Linked DNA regions of Mytilus edulis. The protein of the gene in region 1 purifies or fractionates together with the protein of each later gene. This does not show direct contact. Links are inferred from orthologs where the notes say so. Each region holds a gene or a part of one and is shown in the gene's direction. Other genes may lie near its edges. The genes, in order: E3 ubiquitin-protein ligase MARCHF6-like and perilipin-2-like.

What was found.
Region 2: the proteins of E3 ubiquitin-protein ligase MARCHF6-like (region 1) and perilipin-2-like purify together in Homo sapiens (affinity purification with western blotting; 3 studies listed by BioGRID). This does not show direct contact. The link is inferred for Mytilus edulis from reciprocal best matches to the Homo sapiens genes MARCHF6 and PLIN2.

What each region holds. Positions count from the first base shown.
Region 1 is NC_092348.1:8,293,016-8,300,767, reverse strand, and holds the start of E3 ubiquitin-protein ligase MARCHF6-like, read left to right. Parts: upstream 1-4,693; 5' UTR 4,694-4,782; coding exon 4,783-4,816; intron 4,817-7,752. Other genes in the region: WD repeat-containing protein 88-like, read right to left, coding at 136-206, 824-937, 1,507-1,633, 2,090-2,228, 2,604-2,667, 3,029-3,228, 4,432-4,524. UniProt on the Homo sapiens protein: Endoplasmic reticulum membrane-associated E3 ubiquitin ligase that plays a critical role in mitigating endoplasmic reticulum stress, the regulation of cholesterol and lipid homeostasis, and ferroptosis.
Region 2 is NC_092347.1:24,719,608-24,727,257, reverse strand, and holds the start of perilipin-2-like, read left to right. Parts: upstream 1-4,535; 5' UTR 4,536-4,768; exon of another isoform or gene 4,769-5,000; intron 5,001-5,186; 5' UTR 5,187-5,193; coding exon 5,194-5,437; intron 5,438-6,421; coding exon 6,422-6,507; intron 6,508-7,650. UniProt on the Homo sapiens protein: Structural component of lipid droplets, which is required for the formation and maintenance of lipid storage droplets.

The sequences.
Region 1 (7,752 bases):
GACATGAAAGATTTTTAACCTACTTTATAATTTCTTTTTTTTCTGTTTTTAATCTTCTATAGATCTTGTTTTTTTACAAAAAATTCTTATATTCTCCACTTTCCTGAGTTTATTGGAGGGAAAATGGTGACCTACCATCAGGACTAAATGAACACGAACTAACAGAACCATCATGGCTGCCACATAATTGTCCAGGGCCTTTTGATCTATAAATAAAAAGGCAGTGTGAAAATAGGCCTTTATTTGGAGTTATCCTTATTTAGCAAATGTTTAGTTGAAAAGTATGACTGAATGTTGATAAAAACAGAATTTGTAAGTTGATAAATGCAGAATTTACATTTTAATACGTTTTTTTTTGTGTGTGAAAAAAAACCCAAAGCAACTTTCTTTTTTAAGCTGTTTGTGACTTCTTTATTAGTTAACTTGAAGATTGTTTTTACTCAAATAGTTGATTTTCCATTTTTTTTTATATTTGTCAGCAGTAATTTGCCCACCTCTTGCTTCAAACCAATTTTTCAGTCCCATAAATTATTTTGAAATATAGATGTGTGATTTAAGAACATTATGCTCACAAACAATGGATAAGTATGTATTTATATAATTTTTTAAACGTTTCTCAAAATGTTACACAAGAAATCTAAACAGGAAGTTTTATCTCAGACATGTTGTTTAGGTTTCTTTGGGGGGCCATAGTATATATATATATTTTTCAAACTAAGAGGATAAACACTGAGATGTTGCCTGCTTTTCTAAAAATCATTAAATTTGATGTTGAAAGTCTGATATCAAGGTTTAAATGCAGATATATGGGAAAAGATGTTACCTGTAACTTCCTGTAGCGATATCCCAGATATTAACAGTTTTATCCCAGGAACCAGTAGCAAACTTTCTCTCATCATGACTGATATCACAGCATGATATTATATTGATATGTCCTCTGCAAGAAAAGTGTCAAATAATAAAACTTTAATTATCTATTTTTAACATTTCATACAGTATCATATCATACACTAAGTGCATTTCACTTAAACAAAAATGCTAAAGTTCTGATAACATCATTTTATTTTACTCTGATAAGTACATTCTAATTTCTAATCCAGCCTTACAGTGTCAGAAATACTGTGAATCAGTAAAATGCAAACTCAAGATTTAGTACATTTACTTGGTCACAGCAGAATACTTATTTCAAAATAGATCTTAGAAAATGTTTCCCTGTGCCAAGTCAGGAGCCTGTAAATAGTGGTTTAATTTTGTCCTTTGGGGCATTTTATAGCTTGCTGTGTGGTTAGGGTTTTGCTCATTGTTAAATCTGTACTGTGAGTCACAGACCTCTAGTTATTAACCTACTTTATTTTTAGTCTTTGGTAGAGAGTTGTCTTATTGAATATCACATTACATCTTCTAATTTTTATATAATTTTATCTTAGTACATCATGCTTAGTTCATTTTATCTGTTTGAATTTCTGGTGAATGATATAACAACATTTTACTATAAACAGTACTTACTGTACAGTAATGGTGACTTTTAAAGTCTTTAGATCATAGAATTTGGCAGTTTTATCCATGGAGGTTGTAATAATCTTATCATCTCCAGGAGCAAACATACATTTCGTAATGGTACTGGTGTGAATATCTGAAATAAATACAAATGTAGGTTGAACAAATTAAGCTTGTACCATTGACGTCCATTCACTTAAACCAATCTTATGTTTTGACAATTACTTTAAAATTAGATCATCAGAAAAAAAGCACCAAAGTTTCAAAATCGTCAAAAGAACTGATTCTACCACTGCATTTAATAATTCTTCACTCTAATTTAACATGGTTGAAAAGCCTACATATTGTTAATTTCTTGATCAAAGTAAAATAAACTGAAACAATTATTAGCATAACAACCTTTCATAATAATTGTTTCTTTATTAAATTAATAGATGAGATACTAAAACATCCAGTTTGTTTGTTTGTGAAATTCTAAAAGTAGTTCCACAACAATAGCTGGTAAAAAATTTGGTACCTAATAGATACAATGAGTAGCATACATTTTGCAAAATCCTAATACAGGATTAATTACAAACTTTTTTGTACATACCGTCAACATTATGTATGAGATCTCCTGTATTAGAGTCCCAGATTTTAACCGTGTTATCCAAGTCTGATCCAGAGACCACATATTTCCCATCATGTGAAAAATTACAACTTGTCACAATACCAGCATGTTTTCCTGACCACTGCAAGAAAAATAACGTTTTCATATTTTTCTTCTTTTGTAGTACCTACTCAATAATTGAAATCTTTCAGAAATAGGTTGATTAAAAGATTTTGTATTGATAGACCAGGAAGGCAGAGTGCCTGGAGAGAACCACTGACCTTTAGTAGATTTTGGAATAAGATGGAGATACTTAAGTAGTCCACATTTACAAACAAGATAATAACTTAACTACATTTCTTCATACTCAAAATAAAAATATATTAAATCATAGTGACATTTATCTTACAGCACCTCCAGCTGATTCAGTTTGTTTACTATTATAACCCAGATCGTGGTGACATTTAGCCTTACAGAGCATCCAGTTAATTCAGTTTATTTTATAACCTTAACTCACCACACAATTTCCAGATTCAATATCCCAAACAGCAACTTTCTTATCCCATCCACAACTAACAAATCTGTAAATAATCAATAACCTTAGTTACATTCAATATCCCAACATACAATGGTTAGTAACATTCAATATGATATCCCAACATACAATGGTTAGTAACATTCAATATCCCAACATACAATGCTTAGTAACATTCAATATCCCAACATACAATGGTTATTATGATTGATAGGTATTCCATCACATTTATAAAATTTAGATAAGATCATCATATCTGTTGAAATATTACTAAACTCATAATAATAAATACATAAAATTGAGAATGATATTTAAAAATGCTACAATTTTACTCCATGATTATTCAATGCTTCTATTTTTTGTTATAAATAATGTAACAGATTAATGAATAGATATGCATATGTTACCTCCTTCCATTGTCATTGACATTAGCTTGTGATATAATGCTATCATGACATCTTGTATAGTTATGGAGAACTTCTCCTGTCTCTACGTCCCAAATCTTGATTGTCTTGTCATCTGAGGCAGAGAGGATTTTCTGATCATTGTCAATGTATTTACAACTTCTTACTGAGTCTAAATGTCCACGGAAAACCTTTATTCTTAGCTGAAAAAGAAAATTACATACATGTACATATAAAAATAAGGAGGGCAGTCAGGGGTAATACTTGTATAAGTTATTTTCATTTACTTGTTACTAAGTTCATTTATATTTTCCAGAGTTTAGTGCGACATCTAATTTCACTGAACTATTACACATTTTTGCTTTGGGGCTAACTGAATCTGGCCTCTGGGTGCTGGATTTTCTCATTGTGTTGAAGAACAATTGTTGGCCTTGCACTGTAATCTGCTCTTTGGTCAGATTGTTGTCTCTTTTTTTTAAAACATTCCCCATTTTCATTCTAATATCGCGTTCATTATCACTGAACTAGTATATATTTGTTTAGGGGCCAGCTGAAGGATGCCTCTTGGTGTGGGTGTGGGAATTTCTCGCTACATTGAAGACCTGTTGGTGACCTTCTGCTGTTGTTTTTTTTCTATGGTCGGGTTGTTGTCTCTTTGGCACATTTCCCATTTCCATTCTCAATTTTAATGTGCATATTGTTATGCGTTTACTTTAATTTCTACATTGGCTAAAGGTATAGGGGGAGGGTTAAGATCTCATAAACATGTTTAGCCCCGCTGCAATTTTGCACCTGTCCCAAGTCAGGAGCCCCAGCTGGCCTTTGTTAGATGCTTGTATGATTTTTAATTTTAGTTTCTTGTGTATAATTTGGAGTTTAGTATGACGTCCATTATCACTGAACTAGTATACATTTTTTTAAGGGGCCAGCTGAAGGACACCTCCGGGTGCGGGAGTTTCTCACAACATTGAAGACCCATTGGTGGCCTTCAGCTGTTGTCTGCTGTATGGTATGGTTGTTGTCGCTTTGACACATTCCCCATTTCCTTTCTCAATTTTGTTAACCCTCTTGCTGCCAGTTGTTTTTCAGGGTTGCATTTCATATGCCAGAAAATACAACCGTTCAACGTTTGTGATGGACATGCTAAACAAATGACATCATTCAATATACATTGTACATGTGTGACATTATGCCGACCGTTACATTTGAGAGACATTGTAGAAACTTATAACACTTTTTAATTTTCACTCTTTTATTTTGATAAAGGTACAGCACTGACGTGAAGCTTGCATAAATTAAAACATGGACATATGTGTCCCTCCGTCAGGAAGAGGGTCAAACTTGGAATCTAGCCCAAACAAATTATGTTCAAATCAAATTTTGTAATGAAATTTTGATATCTAAACCTGAGCTAAATCTTCGTGTTCCCAAGTTGCCGTGGTTCGGCCAGCCTCGCTCTCATCTTGTACTATTTCAACTGATAATTCTTCTTCATCCATTGTCCATATGCAATGTTTCTTTTTCACATTTTATAAGTGTGTTTAGAAAATTTTCGCGTCCCTGGTTTCCTATCGGAAAGAAGAATAAATATTGACGTAAAATATATTAATTTAATTTATTTGTATTTGTAGCTTTATTTCAAGAACTATCACAAAACTATCATGAAAATAAAACTGAAATTCTGAATAAAATGTAATTTGACGAATATTATTGTTTACGACAACGACAATCTGACCTTGAACTTTCACAAATCGAAAATGGACGAGCCTCTGGATCCAGATGGACTCTTAGGTGGGTAAAATAAGGATCATGTTTTAATGATAGAAGAAGAAACAATTATATTTTGCACAAATCAAGCTATATGCTTCACATATCATTCAAATTTGGAAGCATTGCTGGTACACTACAGCTTTCTTTCTAAATTTTATGTTTAGTCGGACCAACTCACAAAGGTGCAGAAATTATCCAGCAAAGATTATTTACAGTTTCTTATGTTACATGTAATTAAAAGAAATATTAAACAGTTAAAACATATTAATATGGTTGGCAATACCATTTTTAACCCATGGTCTTGAATATATAATAATATTATGTCATGAATGTGATGTGAAAACATTTATAATGTTAAAATAAGAGATGTGATATTTATAATACACCTTATCGCTATTTGTCTGCCATTACTGGACATCACAAAAGTTCCAGTCAATTTTTACATCATAATAGAAAATATCTGACGCCGCAATAGAAAAGTGATTGTTGAATGAAGTCAAAAGTTCAAGCGGGATTTTTCGAAAGGTATCCAGTCGTTCGGGCCCCAAACCGATCCGGCCCCAAGTCAATCTGGCCCAAGTCGATCCGGCCCACGTCGATCCGTCCCCAAGTCGATCCGGCCCATAATAAAATATGAATTAACTAGATTTTGGAGGAATTTGTCACAAACTTTAACAGTATAAATGGAATTTGAAAAAAGTGTCCGATCGATGATGGATGACAACAGGTCAGCGAAGTATTGGAGTACCAGTTAACGAACTATTTTAAATCCATACGAAAATTAGTGTTATTGTGTCTGTTTGTATCGCAGTTTCTACATTTTTAAATTATGAAGTTATTTTCCATGATAACTTTTACTTTGAATTTCATGGCGATTTTTAACACACAGAATAGCTAAATAAATATTTACAGTCCAATGGACCTATAACATTTATCGCATAATAATGACTTGTTTAATCAAATCATTAGTCTATAATTGGTTTGTTTATTCAACAGTTGTCTGCTGATTGTGAACTAAGGTAATGCCACTCGTAATCACTTAATTCAATCCAATGCTGATTAATTAAAGTTACGTAATCTGTTTTTCAACAAGGTCTTTATAGTTTGATCTTCTGGTTTGGTGTAATTATTTGTATTTTTTTCAGGTTACATCAAAGGCTTCTATAACATATAAAAATATTCTATTCTATAACACTTTTTTTTGTAACATCGGATATGGACCATAATTTGCTATTGGGCTCCGTTTCCTATAACTATAGAAAAGTGATAAAATGTGAATTACTGTAAGAAAAGTTGCAACTACATCTAAAGATGCCATTATTTTTATCAATATACAAGTGTATGCTACTCTTCCCTAGAAAAAAAATTAAAATATACGAATTTCAAAGATTCTACAACCGTATTTTTGTGTCGTTTCTCGCGTTACTTTTTGCTTCCGAAGAGCATAACGCTGACTGATTTATAGATAATCGTCACTGGCAAATTCGTAACTTTTGCTTTCAAATAACAAAGAACATTGACCAATAGGAATAGTGAGAAGAAAATGCCGAGAACTATAAGTATTTATGTAGCAGATGTAAGCAGAGTGGCGTGATTTTTGTGTCCGATTTCGTAACGCAATTTTTAGATGATGTAATCTGCTTTGTTGTAATAGAATTCTTAAAAACAATATGCAAATATGGACTCTTCCGAGATGTTCAAACAGGTAAATCCGAGATGATTTACATTCTTGTTTTGATCTTCGTAATAATTAAGTAAGAAAATTACGTTATCGTTATGCGTTACATTTCACACGAAACAGAAGACCAGTTATTTATTAAAATTGTTTTTGTCCTTAAGTTCTAATCATTTCCGGTCATACATGAAACATGTGACTAACATGTGATAACGTCATTACGGCCGGATGTACGAAATACTAGGTCTAAACATTGTTTTTGTTTCCAACGGGATGTTAGCAAACATAATCTGTAGACTTGTTTCGTCTTGTTTAAAAGAGGAAAATACAATTGTCAAAGAGATTGCGCTGGTGGTCTGTTATTTTTCCTATGTGCATAATGTTACATATGATCCTGTGTGAAAATAAATGCCCAATGACTTGACAAAATCGATTTCATATTTGACAGACGTTAGAACACACTTCGTTTCCCGATAATGACGTGAAGAGTCCTTGGAAAAATCAATCTAAATTACGTCTCTTATCATTGTACCAATGCTCGTTGGATTGATTCAACTTCAGCAGTAAATATTACTGGATATTTTAGGTGAATAAATATAATTTAATAAAAAAATACATGTTAATATACCGTTACACTTGGAATGTACAAAGTTGGAATCTTTGTCACAGTTTTTAATTAATATTTTTTATTCATGTTCTGCAAACACTTATCAGAAACGCAATAAACTTGTCAAAGGAGAAGTAAACTTTTACCATGCATTACTTGAAAGGAAGTACTTAATTGATTTTAGCCCACTAAAGTAGGTTAAAATGTGGAAACCATGTAGATGGTGTACAGGTCACAAGTATCACATTGTGCCTATTTTAAAGATTTTAATTCCAAGTTAAAAGTTTTTTTCTTTACTGGATTTAAAGAATGTTACATTGCCAATGATTTGGAATAAATTGTATATAACTGGAATATCAAAACCAAATATTAAATACATTTTTTTGGCTTAAACATCAAGATACAACGATTATGGTATCCTGTATCAATGAAGAAAATATGGAAAATTCTGAATAAATTGTACTAATTGTTTTCAAAACAAGCACATATTAAGGAGTCTTATAATACTGTTACATTTAAGATGGATTTTAAGAAAAAGTATACTGTTCAGATTATTTTAAGCAGATTTTGCAATAAAATAAAACTAAAAAACTGCTTTCGGTTTCTTATGGTTTCCTGTCAGGTTTAAAAAAACTTTAATATAACATTGAAAATAGATTTTAAATATTAACATGA
Region 2 (7,650 bases), on another chromosome or scaffold:
TATAATGAATTAGTTATTGCAGATTAAGTTGTACTTTAATTCTTAGTATCTTCTATATATTTGTACAATGCAAATAGTACATTAGGATCCTCATTATTCATTATCCAAATTAATTTGTTATCAATATTTAAATTTTGAAAGTTTGGACATGATTTTAATATATTTTGCATCATTTCCTCTCTTTTTAATAAATGAGTGTCACATTTAAATAAAAAAATGAACTTCATCCTCAACCTCACCTGAGGTGCACCTGAGACAAATTCGGTTTTGTCGAAGAGTACCCTGGTATCTACCAGATTCAATTTGCAATTTGTGAGCAGATATTCTTAATCTAGTAATACATTTCCTTTGCTCAAAATGTCGAATTATTGACAAATAATTTTCAAAACCATAGTTGCACTTGAATGTTACATAAGTTCGTAGTTTACCATCTTTATGTATGTCTAGCTGTTTTTTCCACAATGCAGTATAGTATCCCTTAACTATCTGACCACAGTGTAGTTTAAATGTTGAGTATTTTTCAAGAATATGTTTTTCTATGCCTGACATTTTTTCCCTTAAAATATTAATTGATCCATACCAAGAGGTTTTTTTTGTTTCAAATAGCTTTTTAGAACAATTATATGCAGCTTTTAACAAGGGAAATGATGAGCCAATATTTTCTAAACGATGCCAATATCCTAAAACATGTTTAACTATATCATAGTGAAGTGGAAAACGGCCTAATTCAGACAAAACTGCAAAGTTTGTACTCTTCCTATTAACGCCTAAAATATATTTGCAGAATTTAATATGAAGTTTTTCACAAAGTATCCTTGAGTAAATTGTATCCACTGTTATGTTTTCTTTTTTTAAACGTGCAGTAAAGGGATTGAAATATCCCCAAATTTCACACCCATATAAAAGTATAGGCTTTATTGTATGGTCAAAAACATGAATTGCATTTTTAACAGTAGGATTATGCACTAAAAAATCATTACATAGTTTGAAGTATGCTTTTAAGGCTCTTTGGTATAAATCATTCTGAGCATATGAAAAAGAACATGATGCATTAAATTGGATACCCAAATATTTATAATTAGATACACACTCCAGCTCATCTTTGTTGAAAATAAATTTTTGAGAGATATGTCTGCCTGCCTTGTTGAATATCAACACTTTAGTTTTTTTAGTATTTATATCTAAGCACCAGTCATTGCAAAAATTATGAAGTTCATTTAATTTCTCTTGTAGTCCTTCAGCTGAGTTAGATAAAATTACAATGTCATCAGCATACATAAGGCAATGAATGAGTTTGCCATCCAGCATAATTGGATCTCTGGTTCGTGTAAAATAGTCTGGAAGGCTATTTATAAAGATTTTAAACAAGTTAGGACTCAAGTTATCTCCTTGTTTAACACCAAGCTTTGTTTGAAAGAATTCAGTTATTTTATCATGTATTTTTATACAAGATCTAGTTTCAAGATACATATTCTTTATAACGCTATAAAACCTTGAACTAACCCCAATCTCTAACAGCTTAATTCTAATTCCTGTATGTATTACTTTATCAAAAGCTTTATGAAAATCAACAAAGCAAGCAAACACTCTCCCATCCTTAGTATTACAGTATTTATCAAAAATACATTTTAAAACAAACATATGGTCAGATGTTCTTGCCTTTCTTGTGAAACCTATTTGGCAATCATTAATTACATTATTTTCTTCTAAAAAACTATCCAACCTTATATTAAGTATACTGTTAAAAAGCTTACCAATTGCATTAGTGATTGTTAGTCCTCTATAATTATTTGGGTCAGTGACTTCACCTGACTTATGTAATACTGTAATATAACCTTCGGTCCAATTTCTTGGGTATAAACCATGAGACAGACAAGAATTAAATATTTTTGAAAGAGACGATAGTAAAACATTTTGACTGTGTTTAATCATATTGTTTGAAATGTTATCCAAGCCTGGTGATTTGTTACAACGTAGTTTAGAAATGGCAAAAGAAATTTCTTTCTCTGTTATAAGTTTATCAAGATTATTAAAACAAACATTTTTTTCAAGATTATCTAGCTTTTTTTCCAACTTAGCCACTCTTTCTTTGAATGACTCATGTAATTGATATAATCCATTGAAATGTGAAACCCACACAGATGGTGCTACAGCAGAACTATGGTCCTTATTATCATTATTTTTTAAATCATTAATTAACTTCCAATAAGATTTAGGATTATCATCATGTAGATTCTGTAACTGCTCAACAAGTGATTTTTTATATTCTTTATACTTAAATTTTCTAAGTTTAGAATATTGCTTATTAAGCTTATAATAGTGACCTCTCACTAATGGGTCATAAGGAAATTTTGAATATATTTTACCGTAACTTATTAATTTGTTTCGAAGATGGTACAAATCTCCATCAAACCATTTTTTTGTCTTTATTTTCTTATTTCTTAGTTTATTTCTTTTTAAAGAATTAGTAGCAGCAGACAGGAAAATATGTGATAATTCTGCTGCAGCCTCATCGACAGAGGATTGAGACTCTTTGATTATACTTTTATTAAATGTATCAATTTGTGTTTGTATATCTGGTAATAATAGAGCTGTTTGAAAGTTTGTAGGTGATTCATCTGACCATATGAAATTTGGAGATTTATCAAACATATTAATATTACAATCATTATCATCAACAGTAAATTTACTTGACATTTCCCATTCCAGTATACAATGACGATCTGAAATAGTAGGCATAAAGTTGTGAACATAAAAATATAAAATTTGATCCAGAATACTCTCCGACACCATCACATAGTCAACCACACTACTGCCGTTTGGCGTATAACATGTGTACTTTCCAAAAACATCCCCTAGGACTCGACCATTTAGTATCCTTAACTGGTTTAGAATACAGAGATCTAATAGACTCTTTCCCCTTGAATCAATTGTTGTATCACTGCTTTGTCTTTTCAAGATTTGCTTATCAATTGGATAATTATCAAAAAGAGGTAAATAAGATTGATCATCATTTAAAATTTAATCAGGGGAATTGGCAATTCTTGCATTAAAATCACCACACAGTAAAACATTACCCATTTTCATATATTTTGCAGTTTCCTGTTCTAAACATTCAGTAATGTCCCGGTCGAGTCCCTGAGTATATGATGACATTGAGGGTGGGTTATACACTACACACATATATAAGTCTTTTTGAAAACCAAAAAAATCCTTTTCTAACTTTATCCACATAATGTCAGTACAAGTGTTTTTGAGAATTTTTACATAAGGTTTGATATTTTTTTTAACTAATACTGCCAACCCACCAAAAAATCTGTTGTTTGCCCTAGTTTTAGGTCTACATACATTATAACAATTAAAAGGACCTATTCTATGAATGTTGGACTCATATCCAATGTGTGTTTCAGCAAAAAAAGCCAAATCATATTTATCAATTTTGTTTAAGAAAAGGGGATCATCCGTTTTGTTACCCTCCTTGTTCATAAGGCCCCCTAAATTAAGAAAGCACATTTTTAATGATGTGACTGTTCTTGGTGACATAGTCCCTTCTATTCTTGTATTTATTTTAAATATCAAAGAAATTTAAAAACAAAATGAAAAAGAATTATTTAAATACTTTCCAAGTATATAAATATTTTATAAACAATATGATAAAGAATATATGCAAAAAGATAAACCTTTTTATAAGGTGCCAATTAAAGAATTAGAATTAAATGGCCGTCAAGTTAAATCAGTTGTTTTTGTCCTTGACTTGATTTTGATTCCTTTTTTTATATTTCTTTTTATAAACTTAGTTAGTAGTGTACCAAAATTCCCTTGTGTGCAATTCACACATTCAATTGTAATAAAGGGAATAAAATTAAGGCTATATAACACTGAGAATGAAGGAGTATTTTAAATTACTGAGCAAAATGCAGGATAATGAAGAAATATATATGACATCTATGATGTAGGTTTAAAACTGTATGAATTATACATGACTTGAAACCAGAGACGTGAAAAATCTCTGCGGCCTATATTTGGGGTGGGGGTGGGGCAGGACCTTTTTCGCGACGTCGGGATAGGATGTTTTAATTAAAGCTCGGGATTTCGGGATTGATCCTTTCGTGATCCGGGAATTCTTGTTTCGAATTTCGGGATGCCGTGATTTAAATTTCTTTAAAATAGCCCCCCCCCCCCCCCCCCCCCCCCCTTATATTCGAAGATCTAGCTTCGGACATTTAAAATTTCATTTAATTATGAAATTATTTCAGTGTATTGCTTTGTAAGCCTTGATTTTGATTACAGTTCGCAAATAAAAAATATAACTGATACAAATATTTTATTTTCCGAAAATAAGCTACGTAGTTGCAGCACGAAGTGATCATGTTTTTTGGTCTATAATGTCATTTTCAGGGGTCAAGGTCAACAATGATAAGACACGTCATTGTCAGCTGAGTGAAGGATTTCCCTCTCGGGGTAGTTTGAGGGTAATTTTAATGTATTTGTATATGTTTATCGTATTGATTTTAATTAAACCGTAAACTAAAGTACTTGTATATTCATTGATTAAGTCAATCTTTGATATTGTAGCAAATCCAAAATGACGCAGAATATTTGTTTAATTTAAAATAAAAACCTTGTCGACCCTCAGTTTCATTAGGGTAGTTTCCGTGACGTCACATAAGGAATTTCGGACTTTGATCTCAGACGTGTTTTTAGCTTATCAGTCAGCTTATAAATCCGCAGAGCGGTGTTTCTTTGTCAAATTAAAACAGATATCGTGGTAAGTTCTACTCTTTTCAACAAAAAACATGTTTAAATAGTTCTATATCATAATGAACAGAATATTGTTCATTTAAAAAATGTATCATCTACCAGAAAAAGGGTTTTACGGTTTCATTGTCTCATGTCATGATGTCTGGACATACATATTATGTCATAGCGTGACGGTGTGTTAAAAATGTTAATACTTGTTGCACAGAGTCAGGGATGAGGACTTGACAGAGAGAAATTATGTACGAGACACAGGCACTTGTTTTGTTTCTGTAGTTTATGAAATAATAAAAACATTGATCTTGACACAAAAGAAAAATTTAGATTTTCAAAGTGGTCTTATAATTTATAGATTAATAGTTTTATTTTGTGAATTTTGAGCTCAATTAAAAATAAATATATCCTCAAATATTTAATGTTTATTACAGAGATCGTATGTACAGACAACACATGGAGGAACAACGAAGGATAATGGAAGATCAACAATTTATAAATCAACTGGGAAAGATCCCAGTGGTCAGTTCAGCCTGGACGCAGGCCTACAATCTCTACCAGAGAACTAAAGGATCCCATGAATTACTGAAGTCCTCTCTAAACATGGCAGAGGCTGGTGTTAAAACTGTGGTGGATACATCAGTAGTGTTTGGTAAACCATTGGTAGAACGATACCAACCACAAAGTAAGTTCTGAAGGTCAATAGTTAGCCTGGATGATGGGGAAGGAGGATAATGACAAGAAAAACAATAATATTTGAATGCAAAAATCAAAGCAGCCCAGTAATAGATCATCTGATGTATAGAATATATTTACCAAATAAGGGCCCCAGGAGAGCATATATAGCATACAGACAATATTATAATCAATAACATATGCAATACACAGACAATAAAAGATATGTAACAAGTGTTATAAAAATAATAAAATAAAATGACATACTACAGAAAATACACTCGACAAAATAGCAGCAATGTATGATAATTCACTGAACATGTAATTAAAGTAAGGTTTAAGTCTTGGCACATGATGTTAATTTAGTATTCTGTCCAATTATAGTTCTGATACATTGATGATTGTAGTAGACATTATACATACAATTGTATAGTGTATAATACAAACATGCATATTTCAACAATTAGACATGTTAGATGTATGAAAAAAAAAATATCCCATTAATCATTGTTAATCTGTGTCATTATGAGTTTAGGATATACAATTTGATTAAAAATTGCAACTTGAATAGAAAAAAAACTAGCTTTTAAATTTAGGATATAATACAGAGTATAAAAAAGAAGATGTGGTATGACTGCCAATGAGAGAACTATCCACAAAAGACCAAAATGACATAGACATTAACAACTGTAGGTCACCGTACGGCCTTCAACAATGAGCAAAGCCCATACCGAATAGTCAGCTATAATAGGCCCTGATAAGACAATGTAAAACAATTCAAACGAGAAAACTAACGGCCTTATTTATGTAAAAAAATGAATAGTTTATACATGTAGGTGAATCATTCAAGCATGGTCTTTGTAGAAATTCCTGTCAGTTTATCTCTATAAACTATAGTTATTATACATCTCTATTCTGGGCTATAAATGTATTTTTTTATTATATTAAAGCCTCTTCAAGATTGAAATGTCAATTAACAATTTCTATTTTACAGTTGTAGAAAAAGCTAACAGTTATGCTTGTGAGAAATTAAACCAATTGGAAGAGAAATACCCTGTTATCAACAAACCTACTGAAGAGGTAAGAAAGGCAACATCTTTTTTTATTGGATAACAAATTTAACTTACTTTGAAAAAAAAAGGAAATAATTATTTGGTATGATTTCAAAAGATACATTTTACATGTATTCACCAGAGATCAAATGATTTGGATGTTAAAAACTATACTAGGTCCCAAAAAGACTTCAACAATGGTCAAAACCCATACTGTACATATGTATATGTATAGTACTGTAAGCTACATGTAAACAATTACATGTATGAAAAGTCCCGACTTGATATTCTGTAAAATAATTCAAACAAGAACACCTATGGGCTGATGTAATATTAAACAAGAACACCTATGGGCTGATGTAATATTAAACAAGAACACCTATGGGCTGATGTAATATTAAACAAGAACACCTATGGGCTGATGTAATATTAAACAAGAACACACATGGGCTGATGTAATATTAAAACAAGAACACCTACGGGCTGATGTAATATTAAAACAAGAACACCTATGGGCTGGTGTAATATTAAACAAGAACACATATGGGCTTATGTAATATTAAACAAGAACACCTATGGGCTGATGTAATATTAAAAAAAAAATCAAATGTGACACACATCCACCAAAAATAACCACTGAATGAATAGCTCTTGGCTTCAGAAGTAAACTTCAAATCACTGTGTATAAAAGATTTGTTATAAAATTGAGAAAGGAAATGGTGAATATGTCAAAGCGACAACCACCCGACCATAGAGCAAACAACAGCCGAAGGCAACCAATGGGTCTTTGTTTTGTGAGTGTATTGTATCTTAAATTGTACCAGTAAATAAACCATTTTACATTAATAGATTAAGTTGCCAGTTTAAGTAATTCAGTTGGTACATTTGCGTACTCTTTAAGATATTAGTACATTTTATGGAAGTTAACAATGTCTATACATGCATATATGATTTGTGATTCATCTCACATCTGATATCAATCAAGACTGGTTCAAAGTACAAACATGTCATCTCAATTTATATCAATTGAAGGTTATGCATTTAAAACATTATGTTTTCTAAAATGTATATCAGTTGAAGGCCAGATAAGGTTTTAAAAATAGAACTCCCTTGACCTACTTTGTTTAAAAACTGACAAGTAGACAATGTCTGACCTGTTAACTGATAACAT